2 linked regions of the Bombyx mori genome follow. The main gene of each other region encodes a partner of the protein of the gene in region 2 in a complex. Links are inferred from orthologs where the notes say so. Each region holds a gene or a part of one and is shown on either strand. Other genes may lie near its edges. The genes, in order: cleavage and polyadenylation specific factor 5 and cleavage and polyadenylation specificity factor subunit 6.

What was found.
Region 1: the proteins of cleavage and polyadenylation specificity factor subunit 6 (region 2) and cleavage and polyadenylation specific factor 5 are in contact, whole or in part, in a crystal structure (PDB 3P5T), measured with the Homo sapiens proteins. The link is inferred for Bombyx mori from reciprocal best matches to the Homo sapiens genes CPSF6 and NUDT21. Residues at the interface, in NP_008938.2 of Homo sapiens: Trp90, Trp91, Thr92, Thr93, Asp94, Glu95, Lys113, Phe114, Glu116, Asn117, Arg118, Ala119, Asn120, Gly121, Gln122, Ser123; in NP_008937.1 of Homo sapiens: Pro151, Asn152, Glu154, Pro156, Tyr158, Tyr160, Pro162, Ala163, His164, Ile165, Thr166, Lys167.

Annotation. Positions count from the first base shown.
Region 1 is NC_085117.1:3,153,464-3,166,657, forward strand, and holds cleavage and polyadenylation specific factor 5, read left to right. Parts: upstream 1-7,089; 5' UTR 7,090-7,186; coding exon 7,187-7,419; intron 7,420-8,053; coding exon 8,054-8,165; intron 8,166-8,638; coding exon 8,639-8,729; intron 8,730-8,878; coding exon 8,879-9,126; 3' UTR 9,127-10,177; downstream 10,178-13,194. Other genes in the region: small ribosomal subunit protein mS35, read left to right, coding at 93-320, 428-1,231; uncharacterized protein LOC101742918, read right to left, coding at 4,236-4,452, 5,482-5,613, 6,039-6,207, 6,707-6,812. UniProt on the Homo sapiens protein: Component of the cleavage factor Im (CFIm) complex that functions as an activator of the pre-mRNA 3'-end cleavage and polyadenylation processing required for the maturation of pre-mRNA into functional mRNAs.
Region 2 is NC_085120.1:8,922,651-8,935,878, forward strand, and holds the start of cleavage and polyadenylation specificity factor subunit 6, read right to left. Parts: upstream 8,626-13,228; 5' UTR 8,532-8,625; coding exon 8,466-8,531; intron 8,352-8,465; coding exon 8,148-8,351; intron 3,609-8,147; coding exon 3,393-3,608; intron 2,744-3,392; coding exon 2,632-2,743; intron 1,974-2,631; coding exon 1,636-1,973; intron 1,188-1,635; coding exon 1,100-1,187; intron 637-1,099; coding exon 535-636; intron 195-534; coding exon 97-194; intron 1-96. UniProt on the Homo sapiens protein: Component of the cleavage factor Im (CFIm) complex that functions as an activator of the pre-mRNA 3'-end cleavage and polyadenylation processing required for the maturation of pre-mRNA into functional mRNAs.

The sequences.
Region 1 (13,194 bases), on a different chromosome or scaffold from region 2:
TATCATTAAATTCTTTCATTTCATTCCTACTTCATAACCTAAAAATGGCGCTTCGTAACTAGATGTTTACAACATTTCAAATAATATAGAAAATGAGCATTTTAATCAAACGTTCTAAGTCTGGGTGCTTCAATAGCGCCTGCAACGTTAAATTATGGCGTCTAAACTCTACTTCGGCAGATTCCGCTCTGAAAAAGGGCGAAGAAGAAGAAGAATTTCGTGTACTAGATATCTTGAAGAAAAGGGATAAAATGCAGCGTCGAGTAGTCAAAAGAACTGATGTGCAGCCAGATAGGATCGACAGGATGGCCACAAACCAGGTAAAAATGTTTACGATCTAAAGAAATAACAATTTTGTTTTCACCAATCAGAAAATAATTTTAACTTCGAAAACGATAAAAATGTATCAGTAAAAATATTATTCCAGAACTGGGGGAATGTGTGGCCTGGTCCGAAAACTTTCCACCCGTCTTCGGTGCCATTACCGATACGTCAGGGCTACGTACCAAAGGGTCAAGCACCGCCAGGTAAAAAAGCGAATGCAGAATTAATGAAAATACCAAATTTCCTTCACTTAACACCACCAGTTATCAAGAGCCAGTGTGAAGCCTTAAAACAATTTTGTACGGAATGGCCGAATCTACTCAACTCTGAGGAAAGTATAGAGAAGCATTATCCCTTAGAAATTATAAGTTCAGATTACTGTCACGCAAGTCCATCTATCCGTAACCCGTTAGCACGCGTCGTGATCTTAAGAGTTCAATTAGCAGACCTCAAACTCGATAAACATGCAACAGACAAGTTTAAGAGGCTGGTCGGTGACAGGTACGACCCAAAAACAGATTTAGTGACGATCACAGCGGATCGTTGTCCAACTAAAGTACAAAACTTGGACTATGTCAATTATTTGTTGACTGCATGCTACCATGAGTCGTGGAATTTTGAAGATTGGGAGAAGGAGAAGACCGAGGACGACATGGAGTATTATGACTGGGATAATAATGCTTCAAAGAGGAGTTTGATTGATTGGTATCTTCGTGTTAAGAATGAATTGAAAATCATGAATGATGAAGAATATAAAGCATTTGATATAAGCCAAATAGAAAATGGAGCCCAATATAAAGCGTCTGTATCAAAGTATATGAATGAAGGTGAAAATCCACAGACCGTGCAAGAATATAGTATCGCCGTTAGAAAGCTGTTTGGCTTGCCACAGAAGAAATTAGTTTAATGCTTTTGTATTTAAATATAAATTGTAGATTGTACATAATAATTATTGTTTTATTTGTGGTATTAATATTAATGTTATTAAATTTAAGTGTTGGCATGTTCCAAATTAATGCTGGATTTTCATTGAATTAATAGTATTTTATGCTCTGCTGACACAAGATGTTTTATGTAACATGAGGATTTCAACAACAAGTATCATGATAATTATGTAGTCTTGATTAGTTGATAATTTCGAATTTCAATGATATCTTCAATATTGCTGTGAGGGTTTTGTGTGCTTTTTATATAAAAACTGAATATCCCATACAACCTGTTTGCAAATGCTGATGTTACACATACAGGTTATTGGTAAAAGTGAGTGAATGCATGTCTTTGCCTTTTACTTGTGGTAGGACCTCTTGTGAGTCCGCACGGGTAGATACCACCACCCCGCCTATTTCCTCCGTGAAGCAGTAATGCGTTTCGGTTCGAAGGGTGGGGTAGCCATTGTAACTATACTGGGACCTTAGAATTTATATCTCGAGGTGGGTGGCGCATTTACGTTGTAGATGTCTATGGGCTCCAGTAACCACTTAACACCAGGTGGGCTGTGAGCTCGTCCATCCAAGCAATAAAAAAAAAAAAAAGTAACAGTACAGTACCAATTCCAAAACCACTCCCGGAATGTTTTTTTTAAGCATTTGCTTAACAAAGTTTTGAATAATTATACATTGATGATTCAATGAATGATTGAAAGCACAATTCTCGCTGATAGGCTTGGCCGTAGTCTACTTACCATCCGGTACGACATATTAGCGTACAAAGAAAAAAAAGGATATATTTTGTTTTATTAAATTTATTTTGGAATGTTACAGGTTACAGATTAAACTTAATGTTTCAAACTTAAACATTTAAAATATACATTAAAATCTTATAGAAAATTACAATGCCCAACAATGTAAATATTTAAACACTATTAAATTAATACAATAAAAGTTTCACATTCAGCCATTCTACTATAGAATAGAATAAAATCGTTATGTATAATAGAATTTCTACATTAGGATTTTATCCACCAGACACACGAGAACATTGGCCAAACATGACGCCGACCGTAAACAGATTGTACCAGAGAAGTTAGAAAAAATTATTTATAACAAAAAAAAAAAAAAAGAAGAAAAATCGAATTAAACCGTTAGCGAATTTCAAACGCATGCGGTACATATGTAATCTTGACTGATCCTTCAATCTCTTTTAACATTCACGTTAGATAGAGATAGCGAAACTAGTCTCTTACGTCGCACTCTGTTCTATTGAAATTAACAAACCCTCTTATTAACTGATAGGTATTCAACTTTAGTACAATGTGGTAATCGGCTTCTTGATATGCCCTTATTGCCAGTTTCAATTTTTTTTATCTTGAACTACATATGTGATGTTATAGTTAAAATAGTAATATGAAAAATTTGTTGGAATGAAATGAGATGCAATTGATTTATAAGCTTGGCAGCGGCTGGGCTCTGCCCCTGGTATTGCTGAAGTCCATGAGCGATGGTAGTCACTCACCATCAGGTATGCTCGTCTGTGCCTCCAAGAGCAATAAAAAAAATACATTTGAGACTTATCAATCGGAATTAAATTAAATGAAACAAGTTGAGATGGGATGAAATATCTGGTGATAGGACCTCTTGTGAGTCCGCGCGGATTGGTACCACCACCTTGCCTATTTCTGCCGTGAAGCAGTAATGCGTTTCGATTTGAAGGTTCGGTTCGGTTAGGTTTTATTTTCGTTACGGAATTTCTTGATTCGGTCGGATAAAAGCTATGCAATAGCTTAATAATAACTGAAAAATTACAATTCTTCGATTACGTTTTTGGTGTTTACCAAATAATAAGACTTTTGGATTAGGGCAATTCAATTCTAAAGGTGCGATATAATGTAATCTAATGTACAATATGTGAATTGTTTTATTTTATTAAATTAGTGTTTCCTCATGTTTAAGCTTTTACTAATAGTGGCACCTTAACCGTTTAGCATCTGTGAAAATTAACACTTGTGGATTAATGAAACAAAGACGCCAGTCATATATTTCATCCCGTCTCATCTCCTTTCATTTAATTTTATGCCAATTGATAACAGTCTCGGATAAATCCACTGCATAATATTTCGCTCAAAAACATTTTTCATATAAATATTATTTTAACTATAAATACCTACTAACATAATATCGCTTATTTGAAGATAAAATAAACTCGAAACTGGAAATAATGGCAAACCAAGAAGACAATTGCCATAATAAAAAAAAGAAGACGGGAGAAAAGAACACTTCGAACGCCTTTTTTTTCTTATCATTAATAAAACAACTTTATTCCTTGACAAATAAAATTATTGTCGCCATCATAATACAATAATTTTAACAAAGAAATTTAGCGTCTTCGACAATTTATCCTCAAGACGAGATTTTCATCAATGTTTTCGTAGTCAATCAAATATGCGTAAAGAGATATGAGTTCTAAATCGATATTGTATGTTATAACCGTTGCCCCATCCTTCAAACCGAAACGTATTACTGCTTCACGGCAGAAATAGGCAGGGCGGGGGTACCTACCCGTGCGGACTCACAAGACGTCCTACCACCGGTAATTACGCTAATTATAACAAAAAAATTTGAGTTCGATTTTTATTCAACAATCTTTATCATTCATTATGGAAGAATTAAGTTCAGTTTTTATACAAAAAGAGATATTTTATTTTAGATTATATTCTATAACTAATCTATATTACGTTCTAGATGTCTATGGGCTCCGGTAATCACTTAACACCAGGTAGGCTGTGAGCTGGTCCACCCATATATGCAATAAAAAAAAAGATTACATTCGCCTTGGGCACCCAATAAAATCTTTTAGTTAGTCTTTATGAGTAGGTAGAAACGATTTACTTATACACTATACACTCTAGCTCTTAGTAAACGAAAAAAAAAACCTTCACGCGTTCATTCCTCCCTAAAACCTCAAGAAAACATGTGTCATTCTTTTTTCATGCATTTCCTGCGTTCTAAAATTATCATATTCTTTAAGGCGCTTGCTATGACATATCTCAGTTCGTGGAATTGACTAATGGAGAGCCGATACGTCCGTATTTGACCGTCTGTTAAGACAAATGTCACTATGACATGTGTCAAAGTGTGCATTATCTCTTTCCTGCGTTGTGGCGAAGGATTCTCCGTTTCAATTGTTGATTGACTGAAATGGAAAAATTATTACTTTTCTTTAATCTAGCTGCTCTAGTGAAGTAGCTTTAGTAACATTTGTCATTTGCCATGGGCAATGCTAATGACTGACAGATACGATTTTTTTCGGGAATACCTTTTCCAAAAGTCGCTTCTGTTCATTTTTACTTTTTTTTCCTTCAGATCTCGACTCGTGACCTATTATTTTTGGTTATCATGTCAAAAAAGTTACACTAAAACTGGTCCCATAACTCTATATGTTACTCTTCTTCTTTGTCCCCACCTTATCCCACTAGGTAGGGTTGGCATAGCGATTTTTTCTATTCCATTCTCCTCTATCACCCGTCATCTCAACACTCTTCTTCTCACACTTCTCTCTCTCTCATATCGTCATTTTTTATTTTTTTTTATTGCTTTGTTTGTTAGGCGAGCTCACAGCCCACCTGGTGTTAAGTAGTTACTGGAGCCCATAGACATCTACAACGTAAATGCACCACCCACCTTGAGATATAAGTTCTAAGGGTCTCAGTATAGTTACAACGGCTGCCCCACCCTTCAAACCGAAACGCATTACTGCTTCACGGCAGAAATAGGCAGGATGGTGGTACTCACACGCGCGGACTCACAAGAGATCCTACCACCAGTAATTACGCAAATTATAATTTTGCGGGTTTGATTTTTATTACACGATGTTATTCCTTCACCGTGGAAGTCAACCGTGAACATTTGCTGAGTACGTATTTCATTAGAAAAATTGGTACCCGCCTGAGATTCGAACACCGGTGCATCGCTCAACACGAATGCACCGGACGTCTTATCGCTTAGGCCACGACGACAAATTCACACTCCATTCTTGTCTTCTTCAGTCGACCTCTTCCCTCTCTACCTTGCACTACCATTTCCATACATCTCCTAGTCACATATAGCTCTATATGTTACTACCAACTAAATTACACTTCTAAATGTTTTATTTGAGTAAACAGATCATAGATATACTTTAGGTTGACTTGAGGAAAAATCAAATAAAAGACCATAAAAATACCTTAAAGAAACATCAATTTTCCATTGTAAGCTCACGACACCTGGTTTCATCCGTAAATGTTTTGGTATATTTTCATACAATTTCTCTGTGCATAGCAACACTGACAGCTCAGACGTACACTCAGGGGAAAAACTGAAAATTAAAAGTATTTCAATATTATTACAGACTACTAGGAGATGTATGGAAATGGTAGTGCAAGGTAGAGGGGGAAGAGGTAGGGACGGTGACATGTCATGGTACTTGGAGAACACCGTGAAGCAGAGAGCTTAATCAAAAGCCAGATGGTCAGTTGCAAAAAAAGATCCCTGCAAATGTTTTGGGGATTAACCATCATCCTTCATTGTCCTTCAATTAGACTAAGTGTTTGTTCCTTTTAAAACAATTAGAAAACTTACATTAAGTCAGATAACATTTTTAATATTTATATTGATTGGATTCACTAAGACTCCTTTTTATTAAATTACTGCAATTGAGCTAACCCCATTACTCTCATGGTTTCCACATTAATTTTATAATGAGAGCCAAACTATCACTAAAGTAAACTCACAAGCACTAACCGCAGCCCATCTAAAAATGTTTTTACATCATCTTGGCCCCATAAGCTTTTGGTTGCCGATCGGAGTCTTGCAAAGTGCCTGACGATAGCTCTGACCGCAGCAAACTTTTCTGCGTTCATTAGACTCGATAATCTCTCATCTTCTATTCCTTCTAATTCTTTAAGAGACACTGCAATTAGAATTATAAGATAAGCTAAGAAAAGCTAATTTAAATTGCTTAAGTTGCAAGATCTTTTTTAATTGCTACACAATCGCTCTAGTCCGTCTAAATAACATGAGTACATATTATATTAAGATATCGTGTGATACATAATTAGTTTAGCAATTTGTCTTAGACATTGGTCTAAGACAATTTTTTTTTTATATATCATATTTTTAAATTACTATACTTATGTGTGTAATCTTATTATTTAATTTAGTCCTTTTTATTTCAGGCTCAAGTTGCCAGATGTCGCTCTTCCAAACAATCCACTTGTTAAAAGTGTACAATGAAAATATAATGCTTAAGGAATCCATGGTATATTCACAGTTTCTAGTAATAATCTGGAGTTTAAGCATTCTTAACTATAATTTAATAATAATCTATTCTTATTTTTTCAACCTTCTTCTTTATTAGTACTTTTCTTTAAAATTGTCAATGGGTGCAATAAAAAAAAATGTGTACATACAAATTACGAATGGTCTTATTTCCTTTTTCTGTATTTCCGGTGTGACTTTCGAAACTGCAGACCATTGTGATATATTCTCTGATATGAATTCTAAATGCTCAGACATTTCTATGAATTATTCACAATAAAACTAAAAAAAACAAAACTAAATGCAATTGCACATTACTTCAAAACAAAAATTAGTTACTGTCAAAATTATTCAAACTGTCAAAGTTAAGGTTTGACTTGGACAAGTCTGTAAGAACTTTTTTAACGTAATCGACTAAAAGCTTAAATCGAGGCGAGTATTGGCCGATGTCGTTTTTGCCAAATCACAACTCGGAGTTACAACACACACCCGTGAACGTCACTAATTATAATTCTTAATAATTCTTATTATTAAATGGCCGAATACTGACGCTTGTTTGTCTTGGTAAAACAATTTTTAGTTGTGATCATCTCTGCATACGCGGTTTTGTTGAAAATAAGATCAAATATAAGATGGCAGCAGTTCAAGGGCCTCCCGGTAACAAACAGTGGCCTGCGCGACCAGGACTACAACATCAAATAAGCCAAAACCCAAGCATGAATTTAACTCTCAATAGGTCTATTAATTTGTATCCGCTTACGAATTACACGTTCGGAACTAAGGAGCCGCTGTTCGAGAAAGACGCGTCGGTCCCGGCGAGGTTCCAGAGGATGCGAGAGGAGTTTTGTAAAATCGGAATGAGAAGGTAAGGTTATGTTAGGAAAGCCGATGTATGAAACGACCCATTATGATTATAAAGAGTACCCACTATACATGTTTGCTTTATTCATTATGAAAATAATAAACATACATATCACTTTACTTACCTAACCATATTAGAACTTCATTAAATACAAAATCATACAGTTGATATCTTATTAGGCTTTTAAATAGCTCTCTCATATACTTAGCCAATCTAGGTCCACTAGTGAAAAGAATCGACAAAAAAATCAGGGCTTGTACTGTAAATATAGACTTAACACTACTAATGTGTGAAGTGTTGTAAATTATGGCAGGTAGATTACATGACTTAAACATGTATAGATGAAACAGTTTCCCTAAAACCTTTTTGCACGCTGGAAACTTGATATTATTACTCGATAACACAGTTTACATTTATGTTTACCTCTAGTATTGATATATAATAATAATAATAGCTGTGGACGAGCCACATTATAATCAAGCCCTTACCCACTTTCTTCAACTGAGTTTATCACATGACTAACCTACAATTAGGGGGGCTACCTATTGAGTGTTGATAACTCTGTTATGGTTCACTGTGGCTTCATCCAATTGCGTTAATGAGTTGTGAGTTTGATGGGATTTAATTACCGTTGCAGGTCAGTCGAAGGTGTGTTATTAGTACATGAACATGGTCTCCCTCATGTGCTGTTACTGCAACTCGGCACTGCGTTTTTCAAGTTGCCCGGTGGAGAATTGAATCCTGGAGAGGTATATCTAGATTAAGGGATTACCTTTATACTATAGAACTACAAATATAGAAGTCAGCCTAGATCCTCTTGTAGACAGAATAGCCTCTGCTTGCATCTTTAAAGCGCAATTTAACTGGGAATAATCATACGATAATATCAGATCCTTCTCAACTTGAGCAGCCTCTTTGGGGTTTGCAACTCAAGAGGCTGCCAACAAAGTTAAATATAGTCATCATTGTCGATAATTTTTGAGTATTATATCATATAGAGCAAAACAACAGAATATGCTACTCTAATAAGAGCTATGTCCCATTTTCTGTTGAGCAGTAATTGTATTCTCTAGTTTTTCAGTATTGTAATAATAATTATGGTTTGTAAAGAATCTAAATTATGTAGTTGTATGTTGAGTACCCATCAAAAGAGATGCACATTCAAGTGTTTCAGATGTTCCTAATAAAAACAATGCGAGACTACATTTTTTTAAAATTCCAGGATGAAATTGATGGTTTGAAGAGGCTTCTCACAGAGACTTTAGGCAGGCAAGACGGTGTCAAACAGGAATGGCTCATTGAAGACACAATAGGTTAGTGATGCTATAACAGTGCTTGAAAAACTGGTGAAAGCTTGAATTTTGACTATTTTTACGTTTTAGCAAAAAAAAAATTTTATGTTTTAAAAAAATGTAATAATATATGTAAACTTAATATATGTAAACTTTCTGTAAACTTACAGGAAACTGGTGGCGACCGAATTTCGAACCACCGCAATATCCATACATTCCGCCTCACATCACGAAACCAAAGGAGCATAAGCGCCTATTCCTGGTTCAACTGCAAGACAGAGCTCTGTTCGCTGTACCGAAGAATTACAAGCTGGTTGCGGCACCATTGTTTGAATTGTACGATAATGCTCAGGGATACGGACCTATAATATCGTCGTTGTCTCAGAGTTTATGTCGTTTTAATTTCATTTATATGTGATAAATGGTATTTAAAGTGAAGTTTGATGAAGAAAGTTTAAATGGAATGAGTTTCTGCAATACTTCTGCAGCTAGACCACAACGAAGCTCAGTGTTAGGCAACTATGGATATCACCTTCCATAATATGTTTACCTAAAAACATCCAATTATTGTTCCAAATCCATAGGACAATTTAGGCTTTCTTCATTATTGAACTTGTATAGATATATGCAAATGGACATTTTTTCTATAGTTTAAGATAAGGTTTTCTATATTTTTGTCAATAAAAGAAAATTGTCATGTTATATCTAAATAGTTATGTGCGACAGAAAATATCTGAAGTGAGTGTTGTTATTAAGAGATGCATAAGATGTTGCAGGGACCGGTATGGATCTTGAGATTTCCCAGAAGAGTCGTATTGTTTTATAACTTGGGGGACTTGGGACAATGTGTACAAAAGGGGTTCCTTAATTTTTTTGACAACTTCAATTTGACAATTTATTTGTTTTTTAACTGCAGTCATGATTTATATAACTTTGATTTGCTTTAAAAATACCTTCATACTTCAGTGTGTTTGAAGATCTTATGCCTTTAGAACTGCTAGCTCACAGATATTTGTTGAGGGATATGCAGAGAAGGGACTTCATTTAATGAACGAATTGTTGAGTTGTCACCATTCTCTCATTCCCAAACTTGGAGCATCAGAAAGAGATAAATTCACCAGCGTTCAGACCACACTCAGCATCCAAGATCCAAGCTGTTCTTTGTCCTCTTAAATTGACTCAGTTGCAGACTGCATACCAATCTGATTATTCGCAATTATGAATTAGGTCAGCTGTTATGATGCAATTTAGACCTTACAGCTCAAGAAATAAAACAGCAGTTTGATTTAATGCTAAATGGCACTGGAGCTAGTTTTGACATCAAGGCCACACGTCAAACTGACCATGACCTAATATGTAATTTCCGAATGCTGAACTTAGTCTAATTTAATGCCGATTCATTAAAATTTTAATTGAAAGTTAACTTGAAGAAACTTTGTAACTAATAATATGTATTTTAATATTAAGCGTATTTGACTAAAACTTATGTAACACAATTTTTACAGGTTGTTTCATTTTGTACCTGAAGAAAGAAGACTGTTTTAGTTTCTAAGTTGTATATATATACATACAGGGTGTAGTTCTAAAATATTTTGTTTTTTGTAGATTTAAGTGATTATCAAGCTTATATTGAGGGAGTGCCTAATCTCGAGTGAAATTTTTCGATAATAATTCTTATTGTCTGAATTATGTTAGAAAAAGCCAATAATACCGGTACAAGGAAGTACAGCACACCCTGTATTTGTTAAAATGCTAGGTTTTGCTTGACATGTGATTAGTATTCAAAAGAAGTTAAGTGCTAAACATTCTGATTTATGTATTCTCATTTTCGAAAATTCATAAAAAAAAATCACACGCTGTATATTTAAAGCACTTTGAGATTTTCACTAATTTTGTTAAACAAAATCGTCATGAATAAGTAATATCTGTCTAAAAAGTGATAATTCGTACTATGAGAAAGTGGTTTACTGTGAACGTCAAAGAATAATTTGTTGTCTGTGATATTGACTGTGATATTTGAACTGTTTTTATTTAGTTATTGCTGTTGTCGGACTATAAGTGATTCAATTGGGAAATTAAGGGTTAGATAAAGTTGACAGCGGGTCCTAAAACTGGATTAGGGCTGCTAAAGATAGACAACAATGTAAGTAAGACGTTTGAGGAGGCCTATGCCTTCCTATGCCGATAGGCAATAAATGAAATGAGAGATATTCTGTAAATTTTAAAAACTTAAATTAACAGTCCTAATAGTCCAGAAAAAGGGCTCATTGATTGTTTGATTGAAACGATTTAAGTACATTGTGAACAAATTGACTTTGGTAATGTCGATTAAATCATAATGCTATACGTTCAAAGAAGTATCCGCAGCGAATCTTGGATGGTTTGTGTTAATTAATTTGCTAAGATTAACTATTGAAGCCATTTGTATGTTTCCGAGGAAGTTTAACTGACTACTCTTGTAGTCCCATTATACTTTAAGAGATGAGTCTCCATACTTTCTTCTGATTTCTCGAGTCTTAGAAATAGTTAAAATTGAAAACTCTCTTAAAAACCGCCAAAGCGCGGGTTAATTTTGCGTTTTTATTGAAATTGAAGTAAAGAGCTGTTTTTTTTACTTTTTTAATTGGAAATTTGACGGTAGTCTACAGAACGATGCCTCCAATGAACACTACTCTAACTCCAAATTCGTAGGTTTACAGGAGGAGCGTTTAAACGAAAAAAGTTGATAAAATTTTTATTATTGCAGATATATTTATGGTTTTTTCTTGTGTGACTAGCTGATTTACTCTTGCTTCGAACTCCATCAATAATGAATTCGTAATACTTTTAAAATAGTGAAGCGATTTGCGTGAAAAACGAAAATTTCATAATTTTGAGTTAGTGTTCATTGGAGGCATCGAGAATGCATCGATGAATTCATTTCAAACGCTCGTCACCGTGAAAACTGTCAAGTATTCGAAACTTCACCAATAGTGAATTGCTATTTTATATAAAACGCGAAGTGAAACCGTAATTCAAGTCAGGTGCTACCGCGATTGCTCTAGACCACCTTAACCACTACACAAGATTGAAGGTTACGATTTAAGACTTGATACGCTCCAGATACGTTCATATGGACCTATCTGATCTACTTAGGCAGGAATAGCACAGGTAGGTAGCCGTACTTATCAAAAATAGCATTGGTCCTCGAAGTTTTGCGCCGGATCCTCTCGGCGGGTCGCGTTTCTGATTCAATAGTAGATGCATTCGCGAAGCAGCCGTCGCGTCGTTGAGGTGTTTGGTCTCCTGCCGAGGCACTCGAGCTGCTGTTAGTAAATCTCACCCCTCCCCGCTGAGCCCGCGCTCCTTCACCTGCCCTGGCGACGCTGGAGAGGCCTTCGGGCCACCAGTGTGCTTAGTCTTTAACGTTCTAGATAGCGTAAAAGTTAACTCGAATTTGTATGCAGTTGGAACAGCGCCCCTAGCGGCAAACGGACGCAAACATCGAACTCCATACAAAGAGTTAACTTTTACGCTATCGAAACCGTTAAAAACCCCTCACTAAGCACACAGTTTTCCTTCCATTCAAATAAAGTTGAGCAGTGCACCAGACATAATTAAATATTTGGCCACGTTTGATACCATTGGAGTGCAAGTACTCGATTTTCAATTTGATGGTAATTTCAATTATTGAATAAAAAGTAATCGTAAAATTTTATCAACATTTTTTTATTGCATTGAATGTAGGAAAATTGAGAAATGCTGTTTGCATTGTTAGTTTGGTTTGATTATTTGGGCTTGGGAAGAGGGGAGTTATGGCCAAACGGGGTAGTTCATTATGCGATCAATAATAAAGACTATGGTAAGTAGAAGAGAGGTAATATATATCGGTCCTTCTTCACGTAGTGTTGACGTCTCATCGTAAAAACCTACGAGATCCCTCAACGCATTGCAAGAACTAGCGAATTGAATTCGCAGTCTTTGTTTCTTTTTCCCGTATCTCCTCGGCTATAACAGGTGCGCACTTCTTTTTATTACCCATGTCACGACCTAGTTTACAAAATACTGTTACGCGCTGGGACTCGGGATAAATAAAGCTTTCACCGAAGTACAGATTAAAACTATTCAACACTTAGAGCACATGGAACACTTTAAAATTCGCAATTCACTTCTTCCGCTTCGAGTAGAACCGCCTACTAACTGCCTTCGTGTCGATACGACAACTCTACAATTATCGAGGTCATTCCCGATACGACGAGTCGTTCCAACTTCCAATATGTGTTTCCGCTATTTGATAATAGATGGCGTTACACTTTCGAGCGTTCTCGGTTTTGCTGGTTCTTTGAATATTTGTTTCTGTTATTTGATAACAGATGGCGTGACTACCGGCGTAACAATACGTTCAGTACGGTTGTCGGTCGTCGAAGGAATTGTCACCCATATTGTGGAAGAGAAATGCCTTACCGCACAAAATCGCATTGCAGTAATTCGTGTCGCAGTTTTGTAT
Region 2 (13,228 bases):
TATGCTACTCTGTAGCACTATAGAAAATAACGACCTTATTTTGTTTCATAGATTGCAGAATATAGAGTTCAATTCATAAATAATGAAGTCAATTACCTGTGGTGGCCGACCGTACGGTTGTCTAGACCCGGGTGGAGGCCCTTGTGCTGGAGGTGGTGCTCCATGGGCTGGATGACCGTACGGAGCACCTGGACCTGTTCACACAAAAGATTAATCCTTTTAACTACTTGATCGCAACTATCTTGAATTTAAGGGTAGGTAAGTATTTGGGCAATTATCATATTACTTGATAAGGCAACTTGTTTTTGTTCGCTGATCACAAAGATGTATCTGTCGAATTTAACCTCTGTAAAGATCTTAACGTTTTCATCCAAATTTACGTAATATATTCGATTCGTATTCTTATATGCAATTGATTAAGAGAGTCATCACCGATGATAGTGATGTCAAAACATGAGACGATGGTTTGAGCGTTATACTGGAAATTTTGATTTTTAGATACCATCATTTATTTATGTAAAAGCTATAACTTACCGGGTGGTCCAGGTTGCGGGGCCTGCATTGGCGGCGGCTGCGACGGTGGCTGCTGGTTGAAGAACGCAGGATTCACGTGTGGTGCTGGAGCTCCAGGTATTACTGTTTAACATTAATGAAAATTGATTACTTAATTAAAATTTGTAATTTAATAAAAACGAAACAATAATTATTATAAATGACGACTTTTCTCAAATGACGCGCCCAGTTTAAAGAGCGAGACTATTATTTTAACGTTATCGAGATTTGTATCTCAAATATTACCGTGAACCACGATATTCAGATTGTGAACTCATGGTACGTATGAAAAACGAACATGAATGCATTCGTTTCTGTATATATATTTTTTTATTGCATAGATGGGTAGACGAGCTCACAGCCCATCTTATGTTAAGTGGTTACCGGAGCCCATAGACATCTACAAAGTAAATGTAGCCACCCACCTTGAGATACAAGTTCTGCTTCACTGCAGAGATAGGCAGGGTAGTAGTAACTAGCTGTGCGAACTCGTAAGAGGTCCTACCCTCAGTCTAAAAGTCAGTTTCTGTGCTAATATATGACTGACCAGGATGCTGCGGCATGGGCGCCGGTCCCCGCGGCGGCTGGTGCGGCGGCAACTGGTGCGGAGGCGGCATGCCCTGTGCGCCGGGTTGCTGAACATTCATTATTTTAATTATAACGTTTCATTATTACTATAAAGAATAATTATAATCATAGGCTTGTATGTTACATCAGCAATTTGCGAGCCCCCTGTTCCAGAATCTGAAATTTTTGCAAAGCGAATATTCAAGGGGCGAGTTCCCCCAATATGAGCCGTAAAATAATTCTTTACGATCACGTAATACGAGAGCAGATGAGCTGTACACATGAGGATGAAATTCGTATCAATCAAGAGTTCATTAAGAAGGCCTAAGGAGACGACGCCGTCATATTATTACCAATGCTCAGTTAGTATTCGAAAAAGTATGTTTAAAGACCTCCTTACATGAATTTCGTCGGCTATCTGACGGCATCTAAATTTATTGCATTTATTCTATACAAAATAATAAATTTGGATGATGTGGATGCCTAATAGTAATCACGTGTGCAGTATATACATACAGGATGAGGTGGTGGCATCTGATGCGGCATTCCATGATGGGGGGGTCCATAATGAGGCGCGGGCTGAGACATAGGATGCGGCGCTCGCGCAGCCCAGTCGGGAGGCGGCGGACGCGGGCCCGGCGCGCGTTGCATCTGCGGAGGGCCCGCAAACTGCATAGGGGGCCGGTGTGGCGGGGCCTGGTGCGGCTGCGGCTGATGTTGCATGGGATGCGGCCCGCCCTGGTGTGGGCCCATGTGGTGCGGCGGCGGCCCACGAAGCTGGTGCGGACCCGGACCTGGGAGCATCATACGAGGTCCGCCCCCACCTGGACCGTTCGGTCCCCCACCAAAAAATTCTGCGAATATAGTAACGGGTTCTTACGATTTTATGTTTTCAAGTGCACCATATTTGGGCGTCGTTATAAGCGCTGTGATCAGGGGTATCACCCCTTTAGTTACCATATACTACCCATTAGTCAATAAAAAAAAAAAATTGCTTAGATGGGTGGACGAGCTCACAACCCACCTGGTATTAAGTGGTTACTGGAGCCCATCGACATTTACAGCGTAAATGCGCCACCCACCTTGAGATATAAGTTCTAAGGTCTAAGGTATAGTTATAAAGCTGCTCCACCCTTCAAGCCGAAACGCATTACTGCTTCACGGCAGAAATAGGCGAGGTGGTGGTACCTACCCGTGCGGACTCACAAGAGATCCTACCTACCACCAGTAATTACGCAAATTATAATTTTGCGAGTTTGATTTTCATTACACTATGTTATTCCTTCCCCGTGGAAGTCTATCGTGAACATTTGTTAAGTACATATTTCATTAGGAAAATTGGTACCCACCTGCGGGATTCGAACACCGGTGTATCGCTAGAGTAATGCTCCGAATGCACCGGACATCTTATCCTTTAGGCCACGACGACTTTAGAATAATAATGATATGTTTCTACTTTTGATGTTTCGAATATTTTATCGAGACGTATTAGTATACGATTACAATATGTACCTCCGGGATGAGGACCAGGCGGCCCGCCTGGATGGGGTCCTCTCATTCCAGGATTATTGGGACCAGGAGGCGTCGACCTGGTCTTTGACTGACTTTCAAACTGATTCAACGCCTGTAGACATTATCAAAGTTTACTTACTTTCACTGAACCGAATTAATTCATCTATATATTTCCTACGCTGCTAAAACTATTATATTATTTTGATTAATATCGGTAGACTATATTAATTACCGATGGACAAAAAAATTACAAATACTAACTTAGATACTACTGTCCACCATCTCAAAACCATGTGGAAGTCAATAGCTATCATATGGCCGAAGCTATTTACTCCTCAATTTTACCAAATGGTTTGCAAATCAATTAACAGAAGCCAATCTCCATAACCATTACAAAGTCGCGGTGGTTTAAGATTCAAAATTTTCTTTTCGGATTTTTTCAATGAGTAGCCTCCGTGAAAACGATTCGGACATTATTGAAAGCTTTAATGTTGCAAAAGGTTTATTAACCACTTTAGATCCATTATTAAAAAAAATGTAAATTCCTTTTTTGTTTTAATTTAAACCACGTTTCAACACCTCATCGCGACTCACGCATTGCCCGAAACCATATTTGCAGAAACTAATCTATTACTAGGAAAGGTTACTAGGTATATTCATCATGAAACTATTTGTGCAATTCATAAGTACCTAATCATAAACTATCTATCTAGTGTCTACTTATTATGCTCATATTTTGTATCAGTTAACATTGACCTTACCTGTTTAGTAGGCAATGTAACTACTGGATGTTGCCCGTGTATCTCCTTCTTAGAAAGACGTTCCATCACCATCCTGACTGATTGATCTGAACCGAGAGATATAACGCAGAATCCTTTGGACTGACCATTGGCTCTGTTCTCAAAGAACTTCACATCTTGAAAATCGGAGACACCGACATCCGAGATCGCGTTCGCAATATCTTGGTCCGTTGCCCACTGGAAAAGGTTTTACACAAAACTCAGCCACGCTGCAAACAGGCAGCCAATACACACAAGTCACATACATCATTTATTATGCCATCCAGTCCACTTACATGCCACTTAAACAAAATCGGTCGGGGTAAGGTTCAATTTAAAGCGCCGTTCACACGCCGTATTAAGATTTTTTTCATTAACACCGAATTATCGAGAAAGTGAATTTACAACACCGCGCTTACGTCTCATAGTAGATCCGATGATTAACGTGAATAAAAATATTTTGAATACTTTTGTGTACCTTTTGACGCGAATTAAAAATCTACAATGTACTTTTCATCAACTAAATCATTAAATATGCCGGAATAGAGCTTTGGGTGAAAAGAAAGAGCTTTTTTGTGATCATACTATTTATTTCTTTATCACAGATAATTTGCATTATAAAGTTTTTTTACAACTCCGAATACTCCAACGGTTACATACTGAAAAAAAACTAGAAGGAAAACAACCATTAACAAGGTAATTATAACATGAACACATTACTTGTAAATGGTATTTCACAAGTCAAATGAAGAAATAAATTTAACATGTGGCTAAACACACACTGATTTTTTTTGTGTGCAAATCAGATAACAAAATTATCGTATCCATGCACTGATACTAGATAGATTTAATGCAATTAACAAAACTTGAAACGACAGCTGTTGAAAGTATCCTTTACAAAGAAAATAAATACTCTAAAATACACACATACAAAAAGTGTTAAATATTATTTATAATTTACACAATCAGTTGATGTCGCGGGGTTTTTTTGTAAACTACCTACATTATTGTTTAGATTAATTTGCACAGAGCAGACGAAACAGTTTGGACCAGGCGATTTGTTTGAGTTATATAATTTATTTATTTTATTTGTTACGTATTACAACATTTATTGTTCGCCTCTACATTTCGCACAAGAATGTTGATATCTCTTCAACATAAGTATCGAAAATCTTCAGATGTATGCAAAAAAATAGCAAAACATATGTTAAAATAATTACTAAAAAACTATAAATACAATACAATCAATTACCTTACCTCGTAACAAACCTGATAAAAGAATAAACAAATCATTACAGATGGGGATGTCAGAAAGTGAAAACTTTCAGCTCAATATCCCAATTTATTGATCAAACACAAGCGGGACAAATAGCCAATTTTACACTACTGATTCTATTATGTACTATGTGATGACTATGTAATGTTTATTTTTTTTTTTGCTAATTTAGCCTATCAATAATCTGATACAGGTAACTGTTTTTCTGACTAAACCGCAAATTTATGGATATTCAATAAATAAACACAACAACATTTTCGGAACGATATATCAAAATTTTGTGTGCGTACAAAATCACACAAACGGTTTCAAAACTTGTTGCTGCAGACATGTTACATCATAATTAAGCAAGTTACTGTAGTGTAGTTAATGGGCAAAAATGGTATTTATATTAATTAGTACATCAACTATTATAAATAAGATTATACATCCTTTCATACTTCATCTCTCACATAATCTTACCAAACCCACATCTACTTGTATGCAAAATATAACTGCAATCTGTGTTGTTTAAGTACACAAACAGAATCCATCTACGTAAACTACGCCAACTCGATTTTGATGATATTCATTTTCTACTGCTAGTATCTTTATGATATGATGATATATATGATTTTATTGTAAAACTCACTGTCTGTATATTTTTGCTATCGATTTGGCTCTATCTCGACAACAGATAGCCTCAAAAGTAGAAGTACAAAACAAACGGAAGAATATAATATAACTTAGCAGTATTATGAAAGGTTATGTAATGCTTTCCACATGAAATAATTTACAATAAATTGCATTACTAAAACAACTAAAATCATATTTAACTTAAATGTTATGTTACAAAATATTTTAGTTGTTTAGTTTCACCTTTTGTAACATTGGGAGGGTAGCATAAATCAATGTAAAATTAAATTTAAATGCAAATCGTAATGTACAATACACCAGGTAAAATAGCAAGAGTGCATTTTTCAATCATAGTTTCAAAATATAAAAGAAGCATAAATAAACGGCTTGACAAAAAAAAAACAAAAAATAGAAACACAGGTTGATAAATTTAAATGGACATACGCAGCAAATTTGAACAAGTTAGAAATGATGTGGCACAAAATTTAAATAATTATCTTTTTTTTTCAATTTCTTTTTGTACTTATATTTACAGAAAGCGCAGTTTACGTAGACAGGTGTCAAGTTTAAACCATTAAAAACTACCTTATATCATTTGTAGAATTTGAGGATTGTCTCAAATTTTCCAAAGTGATAGTGCAGATGAGACTACATGGCCATAAGAGAGGTATTTACATGTTTCGGTGACAGAGCTTGAGGAAGTATAGCAAAGTATAACAGTTTATATTCTACACAATTTTAATTTTCTATTACCATGAAGGAGTTACTAACTAAATACAACCAATTTCATTACAAACCTTTTCTTTACCATTTATTAATGCATTGCTAGATTTCAAAATTCACCTACCATTAATTAATCGGTAAATGCTCTAAATCCGTAACTCAAACTGTATCACCATGTGTGATTGTAAATAGCTCTGATATTCAATTGTCCTTTCGGAATTTCTCAACTTCATTAAGAAAATAAAATTCTAGTGAATGTCACATACATTTCAAAGTTTAAGTGGAAAATAGTGATCTAATTTGACATGTAAAGCTCGTGATATTTTTATGAAAATTTCAGTTTCACCTCAACAGATCGTAATTGTACAAGCCTTTAAAAACAAAAACAAGTCATTTCTTCATCATGAAGTAAAAAATAAAGAAAATTCTGGTTTTTGCTTTTTTCTTAGCAGAATTTAACTGCAAGTTCATGACTTTGAACATGAAGTTCCAAGTTAAATTTTACTAAAACACAAAAATCCGTAACTCACAGCATATCAACCATTTGTATAATTTTCTTATACTTACCATCATCAACAACAAAAATATAATTTTAATAAAGTGATATTTAATGATAACAATTAGCAACCAAATAATGTACTAATTTATTAAGGGCTTTTCCATGGAATTGTACCAGTATCAAATCCAAACTTTTTTTTATTTTTTAGTTTTCCCAAAAATATTTTATTTGAACTATATATTATAATTATTAATATATGTATTTGAAGACTGGTATTTTAAAACATCTTAGGATACATTGATCAAGTACATAATTATAGCACTAACAGTATTTTTATACTGAAACCGGATGATTTTTCAAGTTTTAAAGTTAAACATACAATTTCCTGCTTAATCTCATAACAGTTGTAATGACAGGTCTCGCGCTTACTTATTATATTTATTCACTTATAGTTTCTGATTATGTATTTCGCAAAGTTTATCATTATATTACTAATCCTATGTTTAAACAATTGAAAACAAATTTAACAATTTTTAAATCAATTTAACAAGTACCTCATTGTTACAGTTTTTTCCAGGTTTATTGATAATTTAAACTAACAATTGTTTTTTTTAACTTATAATTATTTAAGACTGAGAGCCGTACACACCTTTATCTACTACTAGTTATGGACAGACTAAATTCCCGTGAAACATTAAAGCACACATTTGTTTGATATTTGTACATAATACAATTTCATGGAAAAACACTTGTTTTCTATCAAAATTTAGCTCTTCACCAATATAGATTGACTGTGCCTTTTTTTGTAAAATAATTATAAATAAATACAGTATTTTCTTGGTATTATTAGTTTAACACATAATATAAGATATAGGTTGCTTTTTGTTTCATTAATTCAGTACAACAAACATTTATCTATGTGATCAGTAAAACTTAATGTGCAGTGATTTTGTGAATTTAAATTTTAAACATAATTTGTTAACATTTGTATAAAAGATAAATGTGTGTTGCAAAATTAAAAGTAGATCCTAACAAATATTAAAAATTAAATATTTCGTAACTCATTTTACACAACAGATCCATTTGGTTGCTGTTGCTTGAGTTGTCATCTGAACAGGTTTTTAAGTTCTCCACATTCTGTTTTTAAACGTACATACTACTTTAATATTTCTATAAATATATTATTTACAAGTACGTTGTTTTATTATAACTATCATAGTTTCATAGATCTGTTACTATAAAACTGTTAGCTATTATTTACTATATTTTATGTATTATACACAATAATAAATGTATGTACTTCATATTTTGTTTTATTGAAGTTAACATGCCATCATAATAACAATTATTGAGCTTGAACTAAACGCAAAAAACTATTTAATCTAGCTTTATGCTAACCAAAAACCATTTTTTTTAAATAACTTTATGAACGATAGCTCAAATTCAATTGCATGTGCTATTTTTATCATGGCATGGCGGCTAATAGATGCAAATCAATAATTATTGATAGTATGAAGCCCTGAAAGACGAGATGACAACTCAAAAGATATCAGTTTTTCAGTACAACGCAAAAACTAATATCGTACTTATATTTACAAATAGTCTAGGACAAAAAAGTACGAACCCATGTTAGGTTGCCGACGTAAAGTTGAAAACGGCGGCCATGATGTCCGTGAACCGGGCCGTGGTATGAGGCGTTGCCGTTAGTTTCCTCAGGTGGATGCTGGTTTGGAGCAATGATGGGAGGACCGTCACCGTCCTCGGGCTTCGAAGCTGGTGCTGAGATCACGTCGTCATATAAATCCACATTTTCGCCAGCAAATTCATCCTGTAAAATGCCGCCATTCATCGTGACAAAAATAGATTAACAACTGTTACGATTTCTCTATAAGAGTTATCTGTAAGGTTTAGGTGTACTGAATTAGGAGAGTGTAAATTTTACCTGGCGATTAAAATCGGATTCTATATCATCGGCGTACAAATCTATATCGACATCGCCGTCCGCCATTTTACGAAGTTGTGAAAAAATGCTACCTCCTACTTACGACCCCATGAAATTTTTTTTTTAAGAGATTTTATGACCTGGTAACTAAGACCTTTAAGTCATGTCTTATTTTACTTTATTTTCTTAATTTTATGAAAAATGATAATATGGAGTGAAATGAAATGAAGATGATTAATTTGAGACATTAATCAACTGGGATGAAATTTAATGAAATGAGATGATATGGGATGAAATATAATCGCAGTAAAATGGTGGTCATTTACTGAGATTTTTTTAGTGGACTTTTTGGAGGAACCCGAGAAGTTACGTCCAGCAGCTTTGTTTCATTTTCCCACATTTGTGCACTTTCACAGATATTAAACAGTTAATAAACCACCATTATTACACATTTAAACCTGAAGAAACACTAAATAGACAAAATAAAACAAATCACACAACTTCACTCCTCGCGTTCCCGCCAAAAAGTCCCGACCCCATGAATTTGGGTCAATGTTGCCAAGCTAACACAATATTTTCGAATTCCCACGTAAAATGGTCGTGTTGAAAATGTTTTCAAAATTATTTTGGGCACATTTTTAGTGTACAAAAAAAAAAAAAAACAAAAATTATGTACATTAAACAACTATTATTTTTTAGGTTTAAGGCTTAAAAAATTATATTAGCTACATATAAGTAATAGTTGAAGGTTTAAAATTGAAAATAACTATTACTTTTGTTACTTATGAAACTGATTTAGCCTATACCGATACAAAAAAAAGTAAAGTAAAAGTTTAAAAGAATATGAATAGTAGCCAACTACACTTTTAAAAACACGTACGGGGGAGGCCATAAGAGAAAACTCTCGGCAAATTGTCTTTCGCATTTGATCAGTAAGTAAAGTAAGCACTGGTTTTTGCCACCCAATGAGCAATGATCTGAAACTGACGTAGAATAAGAGTGTTAAAAATACAAACATGTTTGATGATATTTCTGGCGATCTTATATATTATTATAGACAAAATTACTCAATTACAAAAAAGTCAACTTGATCAAGGTGTTCTATATTTGATATGTATAATTTGTATCCTACGGACGATAATTGTAGTAGTTATTGGAAACGTTGCTTGAAACTCTATTAATACATTAAAACCTTTCATAGCATACCTATATGTTCATAAAACTGGTGTAAATCTGGATTGAAGTAAATGTTCAATTTGGGCACCAGTCATCAGCTATTGAAAAAGGTATCATTTCTTGATAATTTTTTAACCAAAATAGGTAGGTAACAGGATAAAAACCATCGAAGCGATTACGCGATTGTTCATTTGATATTTTTTTCTAAATTTAGTATCTGGCAGCCATAGAGTTACTATCCTAACTGGAGTGCTTACTTCGTTTGACATAAAAACAAAAAATATACTTTATCTCTATGACTTAAAGTTTATTTTTAAATAGCAAAAGATGTAAGGAAAAACGGTCTGAAAAGAGAATGATTATTAAGTGGTGGTGTCCCTCTCGCGCATTTTACAAACAAAAAGCAGTGTTGCTAGCTTAGAGGATTTTCCACAAAATCTCGTAATTTGGACCCCTATCTTAGTTATCAAAAATGGCTTTTAGTGGTTAGTGGATTTTTTAGTAGCTTGGGCGTTGTTGAAAATTATCGAAAAGGTTAAAATCAATCCACTTTACAGGATTTTAAACATTTTATGACAATAATATATCTAAATACATATTATTTAAACGATGTGACTTTGACTTAAACTTAACTAGAAAATGTTGCGACAATTTAGAATTTCCATCAACGTCAAAAATTGAATTGGTCCAAAATAAACGTACAAAGTTATGGTGAAATTAGTTTCTGATGATGACAATTTATTAAAATAAATTATATAAGAAGTATTGATTATATGATATATATTGATTTTTAATGGCGACAGGTCTCTGCAACAGCATGCGATCGTAGAATGCCCCTTCAGCTCAAGGGTAAAATTTACAAAACGATCATTAGACCTGTCGTGCTGTATGGATCTGAGTGTTGGGCGACGAAAGTTAAGCATGAAAGAGGAGTGCATGCGGCCGAGATGCGAATGTTGAGATGGATGTGTGGAGTGACAAGAATGGATAAGATAAAGAATGAGTATATCAGAGGAAGTTTGAAAGTGGCCCCGGTAAACAACAAATTAAGGAGCAGACGGTTAGCGTGGTATGGACATGTGATGCGTAGAGAGAAGATGCATGTGACTAGGAGATGTATGGAAATGGTAGTGCAAGGTAGAGGGGGAAGAGGTCGACCGAAGAAGACATGGATGGAGTGTGTGAATGACGATATGAGAGAGAGAGGAGTGAGTGTTGAGATGACGGCTGATAGAAGAGAATGGAAGAGAAAAATTAGCTGTGCCGACCCCACATAGTGGGATAAGGTGGAGAAAAAGAAGATATTGATTTTTAATCGAACATCATATATTAATAAAGCTCGTTAACAAAAAAATTATTGTTCTATATTAATAAGAACTCTGTTTAATGGAAAATTTAATGGTAGGTACGTAGATTTCTGATGGTTTTCATGTTGAATTTGGTGGGAAGCCAGATTAATTGTTGGCATCACCGAAAAAGAACTATGAATGCATTAAAAGAAAAATGGCGTCTATTTACGTTTGTAGTTCGAAGTTAAAAGGGCACTGATACAGCTTGTGGCTTGTTTTTTTTCGAAAATCGTGAAAGTTTCCGTGTAATCATGGTGAACACTTGTATTGTAAGTGGTTATAAGCGAGAATCCTCTCCAGTTTGTGGAATATCCTTCCATATGTCAGATTCATTGATAAATTTTTACTAGTGTGAGCATATATTTTTAAAATGTGAGATATTTTTTCTCATTATAATATTTAATACCATTTGTCTTGTAAATTGTACTTAATCTATGTCATATACTAAATTTGGAAAAACAATCGTGAAAACTATAATTTTGCAATGTATTTTTCATATCATAAGAGCCATCATGTGGTATTTTTTGAACTTTTTTTATTGTATTGAATAGCGTTGCACGCAAGCATGTATATCATTTGCCTGACGTTAAGCGAACGAGGAGGATCTTCTAGTAAGTATAACGTTGGAATTTCTGGAAAATGTCCTATATAAAGGTCAAACAAGAGGAATCAAGTACTCAAACGCAAGAAATAAAAAATACCCCGAGAAAAGCAAAATTACGACAAGATGTTAAGGTATTGAAACAAAAACTTAAAAGATTTATTAAAGAAAAATGGCAATTTTTAATTGAATTGAAATTTAAATTGCGAAATTTTAATGATACTCATGGTCCACTTAGATATTAATTAAAATAAATTATGTATTTCTTTGAAAAAAAAGAATTTACTTAAAATAGAGGAATATATTATAAGACTACAGAAAATTAACTGAACTTAATAATAATAATAATATAACCAATATTTTGTAAATAGAGATCAAGTACTATGTGTATTGTGTTATGTGTATTGACTTGTCATTTAAGAGTTATTTAATTATCTACATATAACAAATAAATGAATTTTAGTTAATTTCATTTTATTACCCATTGTGTTTTATTTCCTAAAATGCAACTAGTAGACATAATATACACGTGTCATGAAAATAGCACAGAAGTAAAAATACAAGTAATTTTAAATCAATTGAAGATGTGAATGTAGGAAAAGAGCACCCGATAATGTGTGTTGCAGTGTCTCACTCAGTGTGTCAAATATTAATTTGCACAGCCCACTTAGCCAGTACATTAAAGTAGGAATTGCGTAATTAAGTTCAACATAATATTTAAGTCGCGGTTGAGTATTCGGACGTTAAAGATGAATTTGAGGAAGTTTAAGTAATAGAACTGAGGTAATGATGTTTGTAATAAAACTCAGTGCTAGATTTTCCACAACGCAGCAATTTCCAAAAAAAACCGTCGAAAAATGTTTAGAATTGAATTTACATAAATAAACTATTGCAAGCACGTGTTTTGTATTTACGTAGGGCTACACAGAATTACTTAAGGTAAATTCAAAACTGATGCATGTGTATAATTTTGTCCTATAAATAAATTTTATATGGTCACCACATTAGACAAGGACACCGCGACCAAAAAGTATTCTCTTTCGAGACCGATTTCTCGGCATTAGACAGCACTCCAGTTGTAGGTACTTATTAACTCCATGCTGGCAGCCCAATATTTCTTTTTTTTTCGTGTTTACGTACTCTAGAAACTTAACTTTTAAGTTCAAGTTTTCTCTATTAATTTTTAACAATCCCGTGAGAAAAATGATGGGTTGGGAACTCGAGAAGCATCTCTATCATTTTCTTAAATTTTTCTGCCCTAATCTTTCACAAATCGTATGTAAGTGATTTTAAAAGCCACTAAATTATAAAAACTGTATTATGTGTTATTTTTATGGTTACAATCCTCTATTTTAGACCCCCTTAATGAAAATGCTGGAACAGAGACATCTAGAGCTCGTACTGAAAGTTCAACGCTCCGAATAAATGAAGAAGGTGCATGTTATTGTTGCGAAGCGCCCTCTGTATCAAGCCGATAAAATCTTTGTATGTGACCCAAGCAGAGTGCATGCGCGGGGGAGTGCGGCCGGAGGGACGAAATACATCCCTCGCCATTTTCCGTCAAGCCCAAGTCAGCCAATCTCAATCAAGTTACATTCTGTCAGAAGTCGTGTTTGTGTCGTGTTGTGAAAAATTAT